Linked DNA regions of Alligator mississippiensis. The protein of the gene in region 1 purifies or fractionates together with the protein of each later gene. This does not show direct contact. Links are inferred from orthologs where the notes say so. Each region holds a gene or a part of one and is shown on either strand. Other genes may lie near its edges. The genes, in order: RNGTT and PPP4R3A.

Region 1 (9,477 bases):
AAAATCTATTTAATCTTTTATGCCAGGGGTTAGCAACCTTTTAGGTACAGCAGGCCAAATTAGCTCAGCTAACTCTGGAGGTGAACTGCCCCTCCCCTGCCCAGCACCCCTCTTCCAATCCAGTCACTGTGTGACCCATTGCTGTGCTCCCTGCCCAGGAACAATGGTCCCTTCTTCAGAATTGGTGTTGAGGTCCTGGTTAACTACATAACAACAATTCTGTATTTTCCCCAGACAAGTGCTATATTTTTAACATGAGAGAACATAAAAATACCATACTGGTTTTGACCACAGGTCCATCTAGCCCAGAATCCTACATCTCACCAAGGTCCAGTACAAGGGCAGTCCCTGCCTGCCCACTAGGGCTGTGCAAAATTTTGCCACCAGTTTTGTTTCAACGCTGTTTCAACTCATTTCAAGGTCAAAACAGCAAAATCGAAATGGAACAGATATGGTCGAAACAGCCTCGAAACAAAATGAGGCAAGTCGAAACGTTTCGCCCATACGCCATAATGGGGAAGGTTGAAACAGCTTATAACTTTGTCATTTCTGGCCTGATTTGGATGAAACTTGCAGGAATGGTAGCCCCTGCTGAGGCCACAAAGCCTGCTAAATTTTAAGGAGATAGATGCAGGGGCTTTGGGGAAACTGCCCCCCAAAATCTTGAAAGCAAAACTCATGTCATGTGTATGTGTTAAACCACAACTGTTCACCAGGGCACCATTGGGTAAAACTAGGAGTAATGATCACAAACTCCTGGAAGATCATTTCAGGCTCAACCTTAGGAAAAACTACTTCACAACTAGGCTGTCCAGACTGTGACCATTATTCCTAGTTTTCCCCAAGGGAGCCCTAGATGTACGCTTCTGATGTAGTGGTAAGCTGCTACCAAGTCCCCTTTCAGCCTTCTCTTTTTCAGACTGAAGAGTCCCAGATCCCTCAGCCTTTCCTCATACGGGTTGCTGTGCAAGTCTCTGATCATATGGGTAGCCCTTCTCTGGACTCTCTCAAGTTTTACCACGTCCTTGTTAAAAGTGCGGAGCCCAGAACTGGATGCAGTGCTCCAGCTGCGGGCTCACCAATACCGAGTAGAGCCGAGTAGAGCAGGAGAATCATTTCTTTGCAATGATTTTGCTGGTTTTGCTGGAGATGCATCAATTGATGCATGCTAGAGTATTGTTGGCCCTGCTGGCTACAGCATCGCACCGCCGGCTTATGTTCATACTATGGTCAATTATTACCCCCAGGTGTGTGGCGGCAAGTGATCGGGGATCTTCAGTCCTGCTGGTTGATGAGAGGCAGCAGTTGCACAAGCACCCATGTCACGAGATTTGCCTGTCAGCAGCTAGGGGTGCAGGGCCCCAGAACCCCCCTGCACCGATCTCCTTGACAGCTGGCAGGCTTTGTGGCCACAGCAGGGCCTGGCAGCCCAGCCTGCAGTAGTTTCTCCCCTCCCTGTGCCCCAGGACGGACAGAGTTGCACAGGCACCCATGACATGAGTTTTGCCAGTCAGCAGCTAGAGGTGCAGGGCCCCAGAACCCCTGCACCTATCTCCTTGAAAGCTGGCAGGCTTTGTGGCCTCAGCAGGGGCTATCAGCCTGCAGCTTTCACCCTGCTGCGCCTTAACACACACAGTGTCACCCATGTCACGAGTTTTGCTTGTCTGCAGCTTGTAGTACAGTTTCCCCCAAACCCCTGCACCTATCTCCTTGAAACTTGACAGGCTTTGTGGTCTCAGCAGGGGCTAGCATGCCTGCAGTTTTGACCCCACTGTGGCTTAACACATACACATGACTTGAGTTTTGCTTTCAAGATTTTGGGGTGCAGTTTCCCCAAACACCCTGCATCTATCTCCTTGAAGCTTAGTAGGCTTTGTGGCCTCAACAGAGGCTACTATTCCTGCATGTTTTATCCAAATCAGGCCAGAAATGACAAAGTTATAGGCTGTTTTGACCTTCCTCATTATATTCTATGGGCTAAACGTCAAAACAGTTTTGCCTTTTCAACCCTGTTTTGACAGAATGGAACGGAATGGAACAGCTGTTTCAAATCGAAACAAAATTTGAAACGGAACGCTGTTCTTTCGAAACATTGAAATGCTGGTCAAAACGGAACGTCGCTGTTTTGCACAGCCCTACTGCCCATTCCCCAAACCCTCTGGAGCTTGTCTTGGGGCTCCTGCCTTGACAGGTCCCACGACATTCCCTAGCACACCATCCTAGCAGGCTGGGGAATACAAAACTAGTCTACTTCTGAACAGCCCACTGCTGCCAGCTCTAGATTCTTGTGCTTCACATTACACACTCACTCTGATGCCCTCAAAGCCTGCCTAGACACCAATGGGCAGGGCACCTTCAGGAAGGGTGAGAGTCCCCAGTGGAACAACCCATATTCTACCCATATTCCCACAAGTCATTGGGGACATTGGTTGACAGGTCCTGCATGGAACTGTCTCCATGGGCAGGTATCTGACTTGCTTCACTGATTCCCCTGACACCTGCCCTTCATGTCAACAGAGAGAGATCTTGGTGCCAGGGCTAGATTAACACATAGGCAAACTAGGTACATGCCTACGGCCCTAAGTTGCAAGGAAGGCCCTGGTGTTTCCCTCTATGGCGGTGGTGCGAATGGCCCCGTCTGCCTCCCTTCCCTTCCCCTCCCTTCTGCTGGCCTTGCCTCGGTGGTGGCTGCTTCCCAGTGGCGGCTCTGACTCGGTGCTTGGCAGCACCGAGTTGGGGACGGGGGTCTCAACTCGCCTGGGGCCCAGAAGTTTGTTTGTCTATGGCCCACTAAAGGGCTAATCCAGCCCTGCTTGATGCATGCCTTCTTTGTGTGTGCCAAACTGCAGCCTCTCCACCACCTCCTCAGGAACCTCCTTCTAAGGTTCTGGCTGCACTTCTCCCTACACCTTTTATTTTATGTACTCCCTAACCATGGCCCTGCCAAGTCCTGGGATCTCTTAGTCAGCCTCCTCCTGGCTCTGGCCAAACTTGCCATGTACCAGAACAGAAATGAGGCCCTTGCTTGGGGGAATCCTGAGTGATTCCAGAGCGCCCCAAGGGATGACAAGATCAAATGGTCACAAACTCCTCTGTGACCGTTTCAGGCTAGACATAAGGAAGAACTTCTTTACTGTCCAAGCCCCCAAGGTTTGGAATAGACTGCCACCAGAGGTGGTTCAAGCACCTACTTTGAATGTCTTCAAGACACTTTTGGATGTTTATCTTGCTGGGATCCTATGATCCCTGCTGACTTCCTGCCCCGGGGCAGGGGGCTGGATTAGATGATCCTCCAGGGTCCCTTCCAGCCCGAACATCTATGAAATCTATGAAATCTATGATTGTGGGACTGTTTTTCTGTTACTCCTTTGTGCATGTCTCTGGGCAGTTTCACTGGGGGGTGTCCACAGACTCCATGAACACAGATGAGGGGCAGTGGGTGCTGTCTGGTGTTTTCTGCTTGGAGTTTTCCCTTGAAACTCTTATTATAAGAGTCCTGTCTGTTGGTTTTTTCATTTATTGTTCCCTGAAAACAGCTGTTACGCTCTTAGCGGCCTCCCTAACTGAAGGAGACTTACAATTTTCTTGTTGGGCCTAGGACCACTGCCCTTTGTGTAAGAAAAAAGCCTGCATCTCATAGTAATGGACAGCAGATGATAAGGGGAAGTTTATGTTAAAAGTATGTAAGGTCATATAGAGCTATGAAAGTGCTGTCAGCTCTAGATACAAAAAAATCTATAATCTGACTGTGTTCCTGCATGACTCTGTCATTGGACAAATAATTTCTTCACAGGAAAAAAGAAATTGCTCATCGAACTGCAACTAGTCAGTGTACCGACATCAGAACTGACCCTTCGCACTTGTTTGTTGCCTCTTATACACTTTCTAAATATGCTTGTGAGTGACTCCCTGTACTCGGAGCGTGTCTACAATCAGGCTTCTGACTACAGAGTAGTGTGGACTTGTCCTAGCTAGTTAGGTTGGGTACCGGTGAGTCTAAGGGTATGTTTACACTGCAGCAATTTGTTTTGGCCAGGACACCTCCATGCACACATTTCCCACCTACTCCCACTGACATGCTCCAAATTCAGAAATGCTTTGGCGAGGCTGCCCCTCTGTGGCTGTTTTTAAGAGCTTGGTCTTTGGTGTACTGGGAACAACTTCACCCTCCTATCCTGGATTTGGAGCAGGATTGAATATAGGCAGGTCACACTCTGGGGGCCATGCTGGAAGTAAGCTCTCGGCATGGCAGCACGATGCTTTGTGTGGGTTAGTTCCCACCGTCTTTACTCAGTGTCTCTGGCAGGATTTGGAGCACAGGCTGAGTTCTGCGCAGCCTCTGCCTGATCACTACCAGCCCCTGAGAACTACATCTGTGGTACTACTTGAGGCCACTAGCGTCTTGCTTCAGCTTTGGTTTTTGTCTGTGGAAAAATAACAGAGCTCTTCTTCTGTGCCAAAGAAAAAAGCACTGCAGGCTGGCATGATTCAGACACTACAGGCTTCTATCTGAAATCTCTGGGCTAATCACATGTAGGTGTTTGCACATCTAACCAGGCTGATACTGGGGCACCTTGGATGAGCATCATAGGGCCCCCATGTTCTGCCTCCACAGCTGCAACTGGAGCGTGTAGGAATCTCCTCAGAAAGGGGTGGATCCTGGGGGAGTACTGGCATACTTGCACCCTCCTTGGAGTCCTGTCCATCTAATGTTTAAAACCAACTGCCCGGCAGTGGCAGCAGCATTTCTAGTCAGGCAGTGCTGAGGCAGTCAACTGACTTCACAGCTCTTTATAATCGACCCCACCCCTTCTAAACTCTTCATTCCCACAGCACTAAGGACCCGCTCTTCTTTTTTAATGGTCTTGCTGTTCCACCAGGTGAGCCAGCCTCTGTTTGGCCAGCCCTCGGCTGCTCCTGGTAACTCGTTTCACAGCCCTGCAGCTGTTTTTAACTCATTTCAATGAAGCTGCCAGGTTAACCCTTTGGTGGGCCCTAGGCAAACTCCTGAGCTGAAGATGAGATGTTTATATTACTTTTTTCACTCAATAATTATATTGTGTAACATAAGCACAGCTGGACCCCTTCTTCACCCAGGAACCTAGGCACGCGCCTAGTTTGCTTCTGCGTTAATCTCTGGACGCTGCCTTAGGTTTTGCTCGCACCTCAAGGCGCACAAGCCCCGCCCCCGGGTCTCCCCGGGACCCCAGTGACGTGACGGCACTGAAGGGCGGGGCCAGGCGGGGTCTCCCACACCCGCCCCAGGGGCCGCACGGCGGGGATGCTGAGGCCCCACCCCCCGGCGTGCAGAGCAGTGCCGGAAGCGGAAGGTGCCGGGGCGGAAGTGGCTGTGCGCGGTGCATGGCGGGCCGGCGGCGGGCGTTGCGGAGTCGGGGCTGAATGAAACGGCGGCGGGCGCGGGCCGCGGAGCGCTGGGAGCCGCCGGGGCAGGGGCAGGGGGCGGCGCCGCCATGGCCTTCTGCAAGATCCCGCCGCGCTGGCTGCGCTGCCCCCGGCGGGGGCAGCCGGTGGCAGGTGAGCGGGGCGTGCCGGCCCGGCCCGGCCCGGCCCGGCCCGGGGGCTGCGGGGTCCGGTGGCGTGTCCCGCCTCTGCCGCGGGGGCGAAGGGAGACGAGCTGCCCAGTGTGGGGCACTCCGCCCTGCCGGGTGCCCCCGGCCGCAGGCCCTCGGGCTTGGCAGTCGGGTACCTCTGGGGTCAGCACCACCTCCTTCCCCGCTCTGCCCTAGGCACGTGCCCCTTGGCCTCCCCTCCCTTCCCTTCCTTGGGCCTCCTGGGGCCTCTTTCTCAACCCCCTGCTTCTCAGCATCCCTCACACTTGTGCATACGGCTCGGCACCTGGTCTCCACAGGCCAGGTGGACCTGGTGGCTAGGTGCTGTCCCTGTGTCTCTATGATCACTGGCTGTTTCTGGCGTGAGGGCAGAAATCCTCCCCCCTGGTTTTCAGTCTCCAGCAGTGACCTGGGTCATGTGTGACAAGTTCACATTCTGCACCGGGAGCAAATGTGTGTCAGGCCAGGCAGAGCTGGGAAGCATCCCTGCCAGCAGCCTGAAGGAGTGGATTTGGTACTCCGGGTACATCTTGTGTTACATTATGATACAGTGATATAATTAAGCATGCATTAAATAACAATGCTATCATCTAGTATATCTATTTTTGTTTTTGAAGTGAGGTGCTGTTAAATTCTGACAAGTTACATAGGGGCCCCATGAGTTTATAAAGGTTGAGAACTGCTGCTTTAGAGTGAACACCAGCGCAAATATAGGCATGTCGCATCTTACACGGGGGGTTACATTCTGAAGGCAGCATGTAAAGCGAAAATCGTGTATAGTGAAATCACATATTACCATGCCAGTGGTGACTGCCTCTGCTTCCAAAACCTCCCGCCGTCACGGAGCTGTGCTTAGAGCTGTGCGGCCGGCGGCAGCGGTGCAGCGCGGGGTGGTGGTGGGGATGGCTGTGCGCTGCCCGGCCACCGCCACGCCCGGCAGCTGGCCACACAGCTCTGGGTGCGGCTCCATGGTGGCGGTGGGAGGTTTCGGAGGCAGAGGCAGTCACCGCTGGCAGCGTGGTAGTGGCCAGGCCTCCAGGTAAGCGGCAATGCCGTGTGCAGACTCAAGCCCTGCCCCACCTCCCCACCTGCATATAGTTGAATTCACGCAAGTTAAATGCGCGTATGATGCAACATGCCTGTATATTTGTTTAGTTTTTCCACACTGTACTCTGACTGCTTTCTTTAGATCCTTGTGGCTCAAGAGACCTACCAATCTCTTCTGCCAGATTTCTTTTTGGCATCAGAAACCTCTCAAAATTTGTCACTTAGTTTTGTTGGTTTACTTACCCTCTGATTCTTCGTTTGTACAAAATGTGTGTGCCTCATAGATGCTTTTATTTTGAGGTACCCAGGCCACTTCTAAGGATGTTAGAAGTACACCGATACATTGGTCTGATGTGGGATCAGCACTGACGTAAAGAAAATTTTCTGTATCGGAAATCGGCCCAATGTGGCTGATAACTTGTCCAGTAAATGCCTGTGCATGCACACAGCTACAGCTCAGCACGTAGGCAGTGAGCAGCAGAGCCACCAGCATGAAGAGCTGCATGCAGCTGGTAAGTCTGGTGTGGTGGAAAGGGAAGGAACATGGAGGCGCAGATCAAGGCCCCCATGGTGAGGGAGTCCCTTGCATTGGCCCCCGTGGGGTCGGGGCAGGGGCTGCCTGGCTGGGGTGGGTATGGGGCGCAGGAAGGAGAGTGAAGTGTGCAGCTCACGTTGCTGTTTGTGGCTTGTCCAGTGCTCGTCTGGTAGCTCCCACCTCTGCTGCCGCTCGTTCGGGAGGGCACAGGGAGGCAGGACGTGTGCCCCTGATCTGCATGGGGCAGGGCGGGCTGGGGCCAGGCTTTTCCCAGCTGGGCAGATCCGAGGGCACATCCCCCCCCAATGCCCTCCCGGATGAGTAGTGGGAACAGTGGCCGGAGCTGCCAGATGAGCCGTGCGCAGTGGCAGGAGCCGCCCCCCCCAACGAGCTGTGCCTCCATCCTATGCCGACCCCAGCCCACAGCTAGAGCCTTCCCTGTGCCGTGCAGATCTGGGTGGCACACACCCCACCCCTGCGGATGAGCCACTTGTGGCTCTCTCTCATGCCTGTCCCTGCCCCGGCTGGTCAGCATGTGCACCAGCTCCATTCCCTCCCTCACCACAGGGGCCTTGATATGCCATCCCCCCACTCCCCACACACACACCCCTTCCACCACACCAGACTTATCAGCTTCAAGCTGAAGAGCTGTGTATCGAAAATTGGATTGGTATCATAGGATTCGTAGATGTTGGGGTCGGAAGGAACCTCAGTAGGTCATCGAGTCTGACCCCCTGCCCTGGGCAGGAAAGAACTTTGGGGTCTGCTAGGAGCTTGTCCAGCCTCCTCTTGAAGACCCCCAAGGTAGGGGACAGTATCACCTCCCTTGGAAACCCATTCCAGATTCTGGCAACCCTTACTGTGAAGAATTTCTTTCTAATGTCCAACCTAAATCTGCTGTCTGTCAATTTTGGCCATTGTTCCTAGTTACTCTAGAGGGTGCCCTAGTAAATAGAGCATCTCCTATTCCGTGCTGCCCTCCCCTGATGAATTTATAGGCAGCCACAAGATCACCTCTCAGCCTTCTCTTGCAAAGGCTGAAGAGATCTAGGTCCCTCAGTCTCTCGTTGTAGGTCCTTGCCTGCAGGCCTCTGACCATATGAGTGGCCCTCCTCTAAGCCCTCTCAAGGTTCTCCACATCCCTCTTGAAGTGCATCTGCTAATGCATGAGAAAGTGTGGTTAGCCTTGTTGATCACTTTGTCACATTGATGACTTAGGTTCATCTTGGAGTCAACCATGACGCCAAGATCCCTTTCTGCTGCTGTGCTGCTGGGAAGGTCATCCCTCAGCCTGTAAGTGTGTTGGTAGTTCTTTTTGCCCAGGTGCAGCACTTTGCGCTTGTCTTTGTTGAACTGCATCCTATTTTGTTCTGCTCTTTTTTCCAGCCTGTCCAGATCCGCCTCGATCTGTTTCCTACCCTCTGGTGTGTTAACTTTGCCCCATAATTTGATATCATCTGCAGACTCGGACAGGGTGCTCTCCATGCCCTCATCCAAGTCACTGATGAAGACATTGAATAGCACCAGTCCGAGGACCAAGCCTTGCGGGACTCCACGGCCCACATCTTTCCAGGTCGATATCGACCCGTCCACCACCACTCTCTGCATGCAACCCCTAAGCCAATTTGCCACCCTCCTGGTCGTGTAATCATCTACTTCACAGCCTGTCAGTTTGTTTATGAGAACAGAATGAGATACCATATCAAAGGCCTTCTTAAAGTCTAGTTAAATGACATCTACCTCAGCATCTGCATCTAAGCATTTTGTGACCTGGTCATAAAAAGAAACAAGATTAGTCAGGCAGAATGAACTCATACTGATTTCCTTTCAGCATTATTTCCTCTGCTGGGCTTCCACAAATGTGATCCTTAATGATTTTTTCCAGAGTTTTCCCAAGGATTTAGATGAGACTAATTGGCCTATAGTTTCCTGGTCCCTTCCTCCTCCCCTTCTTGAAAATAGGGACCACATAGGCTCTTTTCCAGTCCTCTGGGACCTGACCAGAGCACCATGAATGCTTGAACAGACGTGCCAGCGGCTCTGCCATGACATTGGCCAATTTCTTCAGCACCCTTGGATGAAGTTCATCCAGACCTGCTGATTTGAACACATCCAGCCCCTCCAAGTGCCCTTTCACTAAGTCTGCGCTAACAGTTGGTGGGCTGTTGTCCCTCCTGTGTCTGTCTGATCCAAATGTGAGATGAGATGTGTTTTTGTCCGTGTCTAGGAATACAGATGCAAAGAACTCATTGAAGAGCTTAGCTTTGTCCCCCCTCTCTGTCACCAGTTGCCCTAGTTTGTCCTGTAGGGGTCTTATGCTACCCT
Region 2 (9,966 bases), on another chromosome or scaffold:
GCTGGAAGGGACCTCGGAAGATCATTGAGTCCAGCCCCCTGCCCCAGGGGCAGGAAGCCAGCTAGCTAGGGTCAAAGGATCCCAGCAAGATAAGCATCCAAACGTTTCTTAAAAGAGTCTAGAGTAGGTGCTTGGACCACCTCTGGAGGGCGTCTATTCCAGGCTTTGGGGGCTCGGACAGTAAAGACGTTTTTCCTTATGTCCAGCCTAAAATGGTCTTGGAGGAGTTTGTGACCATTGGTCTTTCTCATCCCTTGGGGCACTCTGGTGAACAGGCATTCACCCAGATCCTGATGCATATCCCTTATGTACTTATAGGCTGCCAGCAGGTCACCCCTGAGCCTGCGCTTCTCCAGGCTGAAGAGTCCCACGGCTCTCAGCCTCTCTCCATAAGGCCTGTTCTCTTGCCCTTTGATCATGCATGTGGCTCTTCTCTGGACTCTTTCAAGCTTCTCTACATCCTTCTTGAATTGTGGAGCCCAGAACTGGATGCAGTACTCCAGCTGTAGCCTCACCAAGGCCGAATACAGTGGGAGGATGGCATCCTGAGAGTTACTTGAGAAACATCTATGGATGCAAGCCAGCATTTTGTTTGCTTTACCAATTGCGACATTGCACTGGTGACTCATGTTCATCTTGTGGTCAATCATTCTTGGTTGCGCTGCTAGTGAACATAGCACTGCCAAGCCTATATACATGCTGCAGGTTTTTTCCCCCCCAAGGTGGAGCACCTTGCATTTATCGGTATTGAAAGTCATCAGGTTTATATCTGCCCACTTTCTGAGCCTATCCAGGTCAGCCTGGATCACCAGCCTATCCTCAAATGTGGACGCTTTGTAGCAAGAAACCTTTTTTTTGCCTGCCCACCCCCCTCCAATGTGAAACCCTTCCATATGGCAAAAAGCCCCTTTTGCAGTATTTGCCCCCTTTGGGGGATGCTTTCTCTTTTCTACCTTTTCTTCCTTCCTCCCTTTTCTTCTATTGTTATTTTTATAGAATATAAGGTGTACTTGTAATAAAATATAGTTTGTAGATGCTTTTATGGGTATAAAATAGTATTCTGCATCAGTATGTCCCCCTTCCCCCATTGTATTTGGTCTATTTGTTGCATGTGCCATGGTATTTTACCCTTCTATGTTTTATATTCTATGCTTTTTAACTTTGTAACAAATGTACTTTAAGTTTAAAAGTAAGTTGTACCATGTAACAATATTAGCAAGGGCAGGAATCAAACCACAGCTTCTCTGTATGCAGTGGGTCCCTGAATGAATCTTGGTTGATTGTGTAACACAGTAGCTAGACAGGATAACAGGCTAACAAGTGGCAATTAACACCTACCAAACCACAGACTAAGGAGAGGATTAATACAGAGCCAGGAACTCCCTGAAACTTTACTGTTAAAGGTACAAAGGCCCTGGTTTGAACTAATCACAGCAGTGAATTAATCAAACTTTATCAACAGACTCCCAAGACTTATGTACCTGTGGATGTGACCCCTGGGGCTGACAGATGCCATCCAGCAACCACCAAGGGGGATGTCTCACGAGGTCAATTACCCCTGGATTGGGTTAGCCCGAAAATTGGGGAGTCACCAAAGTCTGCCAGAGAGGGATAAAAGGCAGCAAAGAATGATCCCCCAATGGCGCCCTTTCTGACCTGACCAGCACCCTGCCTGCCCAGCCAGAAGGACCAGCCAGCAACCCCCTTCTGAAGCAACATCACACTGAAAGAACCCTCGACTGGCCATCGACAGCAGACTCTAGCACTTGGGGATAGGTATATCTTGACATCGGTGCTTAGTGTTCATAGCTAGCTACTGTGAGTAGGTGTGCATGAATGTGTGTGTCTGAGGGGATCAGCCCCAAGGTTTATGATCTGACTTTTGCATCCGTCTAATAAACTAGAATTCTATGATGATCCTGTGAGTTGGTCCTTTGTCGCCAACAGCTCTACCCCAAAGTTTAGTGTCATCGGCGAACCTGGCCAGTCCACTTCTGACACCAGTGTCCACATCGTTAATAAAGACATTAAAGAGAACAGGTCAAAGAATGGAGCCTTTAGGGACACCACTGGTCACAGAGTGCCATAATGATTCACTTCGTCAACTACCACTCTCTGGGTCCAGCCTCAGAGCCAATTCCCCAGCCATTGGACTGTGATGTAGCTGAGGCCACAGTTGGTCAATTTTTCTATGAAGAGATTATGGGACACCAGATCAAAGGCTTTTTTAAAGCCTTACATCAGGGGTGTCCAACCTCTTTGAATGTGGGGCCCGATCATGAACTTTTTATCACCTAGTGGGCTGGTGAGCCATATTCAAAAACCTCACAGGAAGCGGTATCACATCAGGAAGTGATGTCATGTGACCTTTGACATCAATTAAGTTGCAGGAAGTGACAATGAAATGGGTCTAACCAGTTCAAAACTCTCCCTCTATAGCATCCACCTCTGCCACTGTTTGGGACAGGATACTGAGCTAGATGGACCATTGGGCTGGACAAGCATGGCACTTTTTATGCTCTTCTGTTCTTTGGCTGAGCTTCCAAAATATGGCTGAGATTTGTAAAAAGGGGTAGATAGACATGTTACAAAGTTGTCATAAAAGATTTGAAGCCCTCTAAATTCCATTCATTTTAATGGAAGTTGACCTTTTGATTCAGCTTTGAAAATCTCAGCCCAAGGTGCCAACCAAATAAGTCAAAATATATTTTGCATTTCTATGCAGTGCATCTATGTGGGGCTCTCCAAGCATTTTACAAACATTATATTAACCTCAGGATATCCCTGTTTTTCAGAAGAAATGTGATGGTGAGGACATTTTGGGAACATCTCTCACTCTCTGTGTGATCTGCTTCTACTATCCTTGGACCACCCTAGAAGGGCCCTCACTACCTCATTTCCAGTTCAAAGCAGGTAAAAGTGTAAGTGGGTAGGAAGGGTTTATATTTTGGCAGCAGGTTTGAGTGGCTTGAAGCTAGTGAAGATGTACCCACAATTAGTCACTGACCAGAGTGGGAATACAGTTGTCCTCACTTATTAACATGGCTCCAAGGCCCGGCACTGTTTGTGCCTACATGTTGCTCTCATGTCCTCTTGCTTTCCTAAATCTCATGAGAGTAGAGGATTCCCATCATGCCTCCTGGACTGCCGTCACCCAATAGCTGTCCTAGTTTTAAGGTTGTGCTTCTGACTCTTTCATGGCTTCTTTTAGGGTGCACACTTAGAACTCTGCCTTTTCCTTCCCACCCATTTTGCTGAATTGTGATTATTCCTATGGGGCATGAATTTAGTCCAGTGGCTATGATTCTGCTTTCTCATACAGAGGTAATGACTCTCACAAAGCATGGCATATTTTAGTAGGATAAAAACATTTTGAAGGCCATACAGAAAACAATAAGCAGTTTTTACTCACATGAGCTTACCAGGTATCAACCACCTGCTACTTGGGTTCCTGGCAGATACAGACACAAGTTTATTAGCACATTGTTCCAGAGTGAGTCTCTGTGCCATAGCCTACATCAAGTCTCAGATCTAGGGAGCCTGACCCCTCCCCAGCCATAGGCTGGTCATGTAATACCAATCTGCTGGCCGGTGCAGACCCGGCTGGGCTCCTCCCATCCTCAGAAGCATGTGGGAAGCCAGCTTCAGCTGCATGCCACTTTTCCTGGCTAGTGCTGACCCAGCTGGGTCCGTCCCATCTGGAGCAGCACACGGCTGAAGTCGGCTTCTCACAAGCTGCTGGGGCTGGGAGGAGGCCGGCCAGGTCTGCACTGGCCAGCAGAAGCGGTGGCGGAGCTGTGTGCCACTTGGGACTGACTTGGTGCAGGCAGGGGGAAAATGCAGCTGAGCCCCTGCTGCTCCGGCCGGGCTCATCCCATCCTGAGAGGCACACGGCTCTGCCACCACTTCTGCTGGCCGGTGCAGACCCGGCTGGGCTCCTCCCGTCCCCAGCAACATGTGGGAAGCCGGCTTCAGCTGCATGCTGCTTTTCCTGGCTAGTGCAGACCCAGCCGGGTCCATCCCATGCAGAGTATGTTGGACAAGCCTGCCTTAAGTCACCCTTGTTTTAGCAGAGTTTTTCAGATTGAAGCCCATGGGACTGTTTTCTTCTTCCTTCTTTCTAATTCTAAATGTAGTTTTAGCCAAATATGACACAGCTAATAAAAAGCTGCTTGGAGCAAGGGAAAAGAATGGCTAGAGACCACCCCTGCTTACCTAATATGCTCTCAGATGCACTTTGCTATGCTTGCAGTGACTGCCAAAATATTTTTAAATGCCCAACTACAGTGTCAAGCATACAAAAGAGACCTTAAAACTTTCACTTAAGTTGGCTGATTTTGTATAACAAGGGAAGACCATTCATACAAAGTAGTATCTCCCTACCATTCCCCAAAGTAGTATCACACTATGTGGCCAGAAGACAGGAGGACTTTCCTATGTCTCGGGCCCAAACCTGTGCTTTTCAAAAACAAACAAACACAACAAACTCCAACCAACCAACCAACCAACAAACACTTTCAGACCATTGCATACAGCAGTCAAGGAAACAGTTGCATACAGTTTCAGCCATGCCCTGGCTGAAGTCCCACTCTTCAGAGTTTGTGCCGGTGGCAAGGTATGATTTTACCATCTTTGTTAAATGTTCTCATTTTCATTAGGTAGATAAATACATATTCACAGCCAGTTGTCTCATGGTCACTGCTGAGGCCCAGAAGTAGGTCCCAAATAAATGCCCACAGTTGAACACAACTAAACTGTGGAGGAGTTCAGAATTGGTTATTGATTTTGTGATTAGCCACAATCTCTCTTAGTGGGGTATAGCAAAAAATTGAAGATGGGGAAAGAAAAGAGTTAGCTGGAGAGAGACCTTACCAGGGTGGGGTTGTAGCACACTAGGCTTAGCAAAATTTATTCTTATAAAAAAATGTCAATGTCCACTGAACAAAAAAATCAAAGATTTAATCCTCTGAATTAAGTGCCTTTTGCAATGGACCTCTGTATGCAGCGGAAGGATAGGAAGGTCCCAGAGACACCAGTGAGGTTGCCTACTTTTTCAATTTTGGTGGAGTCTTTAAGGAAAAATCTGTCAAGCATATGCTCTGATGTTGGCAGCAGCAGCAGCTTCTGTTTGTTACTGCAGCTGGTGAGACGCATCTCAGTCTGTTCAGTATAGTCCAGAAGCCGTGTAACTTTTGCACTGCTTAGCCATGAATGAGCCTAATAGAAAGGATGCTTTTGCAGAAGGATTACTTCATCTGCATTGGACAAAACAGAAGCAACCCAACATCTGAAGCTGGGCCTTAAGCATGATCTATCTATGTAAGCGGGAGGAAGGAAGGGAAAAAAGAAGCTTCTTAGAGCACAGGCTTCTTTGCCAGCTGGGCGTCTGCTAGGACTGCCTGACCACAACCTCAGCCCCCCACTCTGCTCCTACACAGGCAGTTTCAGGAGCACCAAGGCATGGTTTTGCCATCTCCGGTTGGCTCCTTCCCCTCAGATGAGCTGTAGGCCTGTCTCTGCCACTCTGGGGGCAGATCTTGGTACCCCCAAGCTGCTCCTTACGGCTGCAGTTCCTGGCTCTAGCAGCTTGCTATTGACCCACAAGGGCAGCTCTGGAAACACAACCCAGGTGTTTTCTCACCCCGAGCAGCTTCGTTCCCAGAGTACACTTCAAAGCCCTGACCCACCGGGCGGCTGGGAGCCACCTGGGCCGTGCCCCCTATGCCATCCCACCTGGCCGAGCCCCCACGTGCCAGAGGTGGCCACGCGAGGCAGCCCTGCGGCTGAGGGGAAAGCGCCGCGAGGTGGGGCTGCCCCGGCCTGGCACTGCGGGCTGGGTGTGCACGGCTGGGGGGCTGAGGTGAGGCGCTGCCCCGGCACGTGCCGCAGCGCCGACACCTCCCGCCCGCGAGTGCGCTGCCCCTTTAAGCGGCGACGGCCCGTGCCGCCGCTGGCTGGGAGACCCCGCGCTGTAGTGAGCGGTGAGACCAAGATGGCGGCCGCGCAGTGACTGAGGCGGAGACGGACAGGCCGCGCCGCGCCCCCGCCCGCCGACAGGACCGGATCGGACCCGACCTGACCCGACAGGACCGGACGGGAGGGGGCCGGGGCCGGGGCCGGGTCGGGCCGCCCGCCCGCAACGCAGCGAGCCCGCGGAGCCAGGCCGCAGCAGCAGTAGCCGCCGCCGGCGGAGGAAGGAGAACATGGCGGCGGAGCCGGGCCAGGAGTGAAGCCGCCGCCTGCGAGCGGAGCCCATGGGGCGGGCTGGGCGCTGAGGCCGCCGCCGCCGGGCCGAGCAGGGGGAGAGGCCGCGCCGGCCCCGCGCTGCGAGCGGGGCAGGAGCGAGCGAGCGAGCGGCGGGGCCGTGGCCGTGGCCGGGGCCGGGCAGCTCCGCACAATAGAGCCGGGCCGCCGCCGATGTCCCTCTGACGCCACTCGTGCTCCCTGCCCTTGACCGGGCTGCGCCCCCTCGGCCCGCCCGGGCCATGCGAGCCGCGGCCTGAGGAGCGCCGGCCGCTGCGTGGGGCCCTGCCCGCTGCCGCCGCCGCCGCCTCCCGTGCGGGCCGCCCCCTCCTCCTGTCTCTCCAGGTGTCCCAGGCCGGGCGGCTGCGGCGCGGCCGGCGGCAGGATGACTGACACCCGGCGGAGGGTGAAGGTTTACACGCTGAACGAGGACCGGCAGTGGGATGACCGGGGCACCGGGCATGTGTCCTCTGGCTACGTGGAGAGGCTGAAGGGCATGTCCCTGCTTGTCAGGGCAGAGAGCGATGGTAAGTGTCTGAGGTTGCGGCGCTTCCTTGCTGAAAGCAGCTGGGGCTTGGCTTTCTGTAGTGAGCCTGGCCCCTGCCCTTCATCTGGGATCCCTGAACCAGCCAGGTAACAGCTCTGGGTCACTCCTGTTAGGCGCGGGGATAGGGCTGGAGATTGGCGCCTTGCACAAACATTGTAGTACGCGTGGTGTTTACACTGGATACGCGGGCACTGGCCTGCCTGCCAAATACGCTCCGTTCTGGTTGCAGGCTGCAAACCAGGCTGTCTTCTGCCTTTGCCTGTGGGATTGGCTTTGTGGGAAATGTTTCCCTGGATCCTTTCTGAAAATGATGACAGGCTTCCCCTGATGGAAGGAACTGTTCAGAGTTTTATTAGTGTCTTTATATCTGTTCTGTAGGCTTAAAATGCAAACGCGCATCTTGTGCCAGATCCACACATGCTGTAGCATTGCTGGTTTCAAGGCAGTACAAAAACACCTTTTGGGTATCTTCCCCCCCCCCCCCCCCTTGGACTAGCCACAGCGCTCAACACTCACCAAAACTGATTTTGAGTTGCTGCATAATGCTTCATTTTAAGGGAATTTATGAATTTATTACCCATTTGCCAGGCACTCCAAACATGTTTCTCTAGAGCACTGTGTGTAGGTTTTATGTAAGAATTATCCATGGCTATTGGATCAACAAGTTAATGGTTGTTGTGGTTACTACAGATTTTATTTTAAAATACATCTTGCTTCATGTTAATAGTGGTACGGAGCAGCAAAGAAGATAGATTTAACTGGTTAAACCTCAAGTTTATAGTTGTGAGAGCCTTCTGTCCTGTGGACCATCTTGCAGACTGCTGTTGGTTGCAGGCAGCAACCAAACTGAAATTAAAGCTAGACAACTTCAGTGAGGTCACAGATTTCAGCCAGTGGAGGGAAAGGTCCTGAGAACCTTCACTATTATGCTAACTCATGACATCCTCTAGTGAAGGACTTTAAACTTAGGAAACTAATAATCAAAACCCTTCCTGATTGATTCAGTTAATGATAATTTAGCAGTTTAGAGAATAACAAACTACACAAAAGCTGGATGTATATATATAAAATAGGTTTTTACCAAATCATTTCAAGACTGTCCTCTATTAGCCCTTATGAAATAAGACAGACATTCAAGATTGGAACAGACTTCCACTGTTGAATCTCAGTACCAGAGTTGAGAGGTAGAGGGAGGAAACCATTAGTGGTGTATCTAAAACCTGGCTTACTTTTGTGTTTATTTAGCATCTTTATAATGGATATAATTATAGCACATTCTGTCTCCATGACTGCTGTTGAAGACCCTTAATAAATAAGTAGAATAAAACTGAAACGCCTCACAAAGGAAACTGAAACATAGAGTTAAATATATAAAATGGAGTGGGCTGAATTTGAAGCGTCAACAGAGCCTGTTTTAAAGTATTGTCTTTGCGTTGATTTCAGTAGAATTTGTGTGTTGTCTCAAGGCAGAATTGAACCTAAATAACATTCAAGTTGGTAGTTTTTTTGCTGTAATTTTAAAGTGGGAGTGAGATGAAGTATTTTAAATAATGTTTTAATGTTTATTTTAGCATGACTAAATACCCATTTATATACGTTATATTTTCAAAAAAATATGTAACTGTCCAACTGAAAGTGTTCAAACTTGTTGCTTTCAGTTACAGTAGTCTTATTTAATGAGATGTCACACCTGTTGTACCTTTTACAGTATATGCAGTTTGTTATTGGGTAATGAAATCCTCTGCACAAAGTGTTTGTGGCTAATACCAGTAGGACTTTGGTAACTGTTACTTTTTTTCCCACAGTTTACCATATCAGACAAGACCAGAACTTTACAAATGCATCTTCTTTCCAAAAATAAGCTACTGGAAATTGGGGTGGAAAATGGAGGGAGCAGAGGGTCCAGTCCTCTGGGAGCTGAACTGGTCTTCCCTTCCCTTCTTGTTGACCTGTCCAGTAAGCCAAACTGGCTGACCATTAATTCTCAAGCCGGGTGGGCAGCCAGCAGTACCTGCTATGTCCCACAGCTAGGGGGTTAACAGAGCAGTCATAGCTTTTTGCTTCTCCTTCCCCTGTCACTGCAGGTGTCTGTTTTCATTGGGGAAAAAAATACCCTATGTGTATTTTCAAGGAAAGATTTTTCTTTTTCTTTCCATTTCTACCCCTTCTCTTTCTCCCCCTCACCCACCCCATTCATCTCAAGAAAAGGTGTGTCCTGTTCCCGGGAGGGCATGTGATACCCAAGAAAATACAATATGTAGCTGTCTGTTTTAAGTTTAACAGGCTAGAGCATGAGAGATGACAGACTTAATTCTCTGTTATTCCTAAATTTAAGCAAGCAAATTAACCAGATAGTTTCAGTATCAAAGTCAGCTGTTTACAAGCCAATCATTAAGGCTTGCTCTTATGTAATGACTTTAATAAATGACAGTGTAATGTGCAGTTATTTATAAATATGAGCAAATAATTCTTTAAAAATAGTCAAACCATATTTCTAGTGCATAGGTATGACAGGTCTTAATTTGACTGCTGCCCCTCACTTTGTCTCCACATCCCCATTAGTTCGGTGTTTGCTCTCTGCTGTCTGTTGCTCCCTTGTTTGCTGTGGCATTATTTATTTCCTTCCTCCTTTTGATTCCTTTTTTCCTGCAGTTTGGGGTTGTGGGTTGGTTTGCTTTTGGTAAGGTAGTGCACCTGTTTCAGTTTACTTAGGGAAGCTGATGGAAATTTCTGCCTTCCAGATAGGTCAGAGAGGGAATGCAACCAGCAGTCCATCTTATCTACTGTCTGGTCAGGTGGTACAGCCACTCACAACAGCTAGAACATTGGAACTGCTGTATTTATATTAGGCCAGTAGGGTACATGTTGTCAAAGAAATGACAGTTGACACTGGTTAAACCCAGATGTATTCCAAATTGTCTGCCACAGTTTTTAATATTACTATACTTAGTTTGTTAGAGAATGGATTATGCCCTGAAATATCAGGGTTTATAGCACTATTTTTTTTTTTAAACCCACCTGTTGCGACTTTAGAAGTTCATATCATTATTTGTCAATCCTTTATTTAGGTCTTGTAAATCTCTTCTTAATATAAGCTAATAATGATGAGCTCAGCCTGTTGGTTATGTTTCTGAGACAAAAGTTGGTTTCACTTTCATTCAGTCCCCTTGTTCTCA

The links.
Region 2: the proteins of RNGTT (region 1) and PPP4R3A purify together in Homo sapiens (affinity purification with mass spectrometry; 3 studies listed by BioGRID and IntAct, with this or other methods). This does not show direct contact. The link is inferred for Alligator mississippiensis from reciprocal best matches to the Homo sapiens genes RNGTT and PPP4R3A.

Annotation. Positions count from the first base shown.
Region 1 is NC_081824.1:76,588,727-76,598,203, reverse strand, and holds the start of RNGTT (mRNA-capping enzyme), read left to right. Parts: upstream 1-5,384; 5' UTR 5,385-5,400; coding exon of another isoform or gene 5,401-5,471; coding exon 5,472-5,535; intron 5,536-9,477.
Region 2 is NC_081825.1:274,844,525-274,854,490, reverse strand, and holds the start of PPP4R3A (serine/threonine-protein phosphatase 4 regulatory subunit 3A), read left to right. Parts: upstream 1-5,967; 5' UTR 5,968-6,628; coding exon 6,629-6,770; intron 6,771-9,966. UniProt on the Homo sapiens protein: Regulatory subunit of serine/threonine-protein phosphatase 4. May regulate the activity of PPP4C at centrosomal microtubule organizing centers.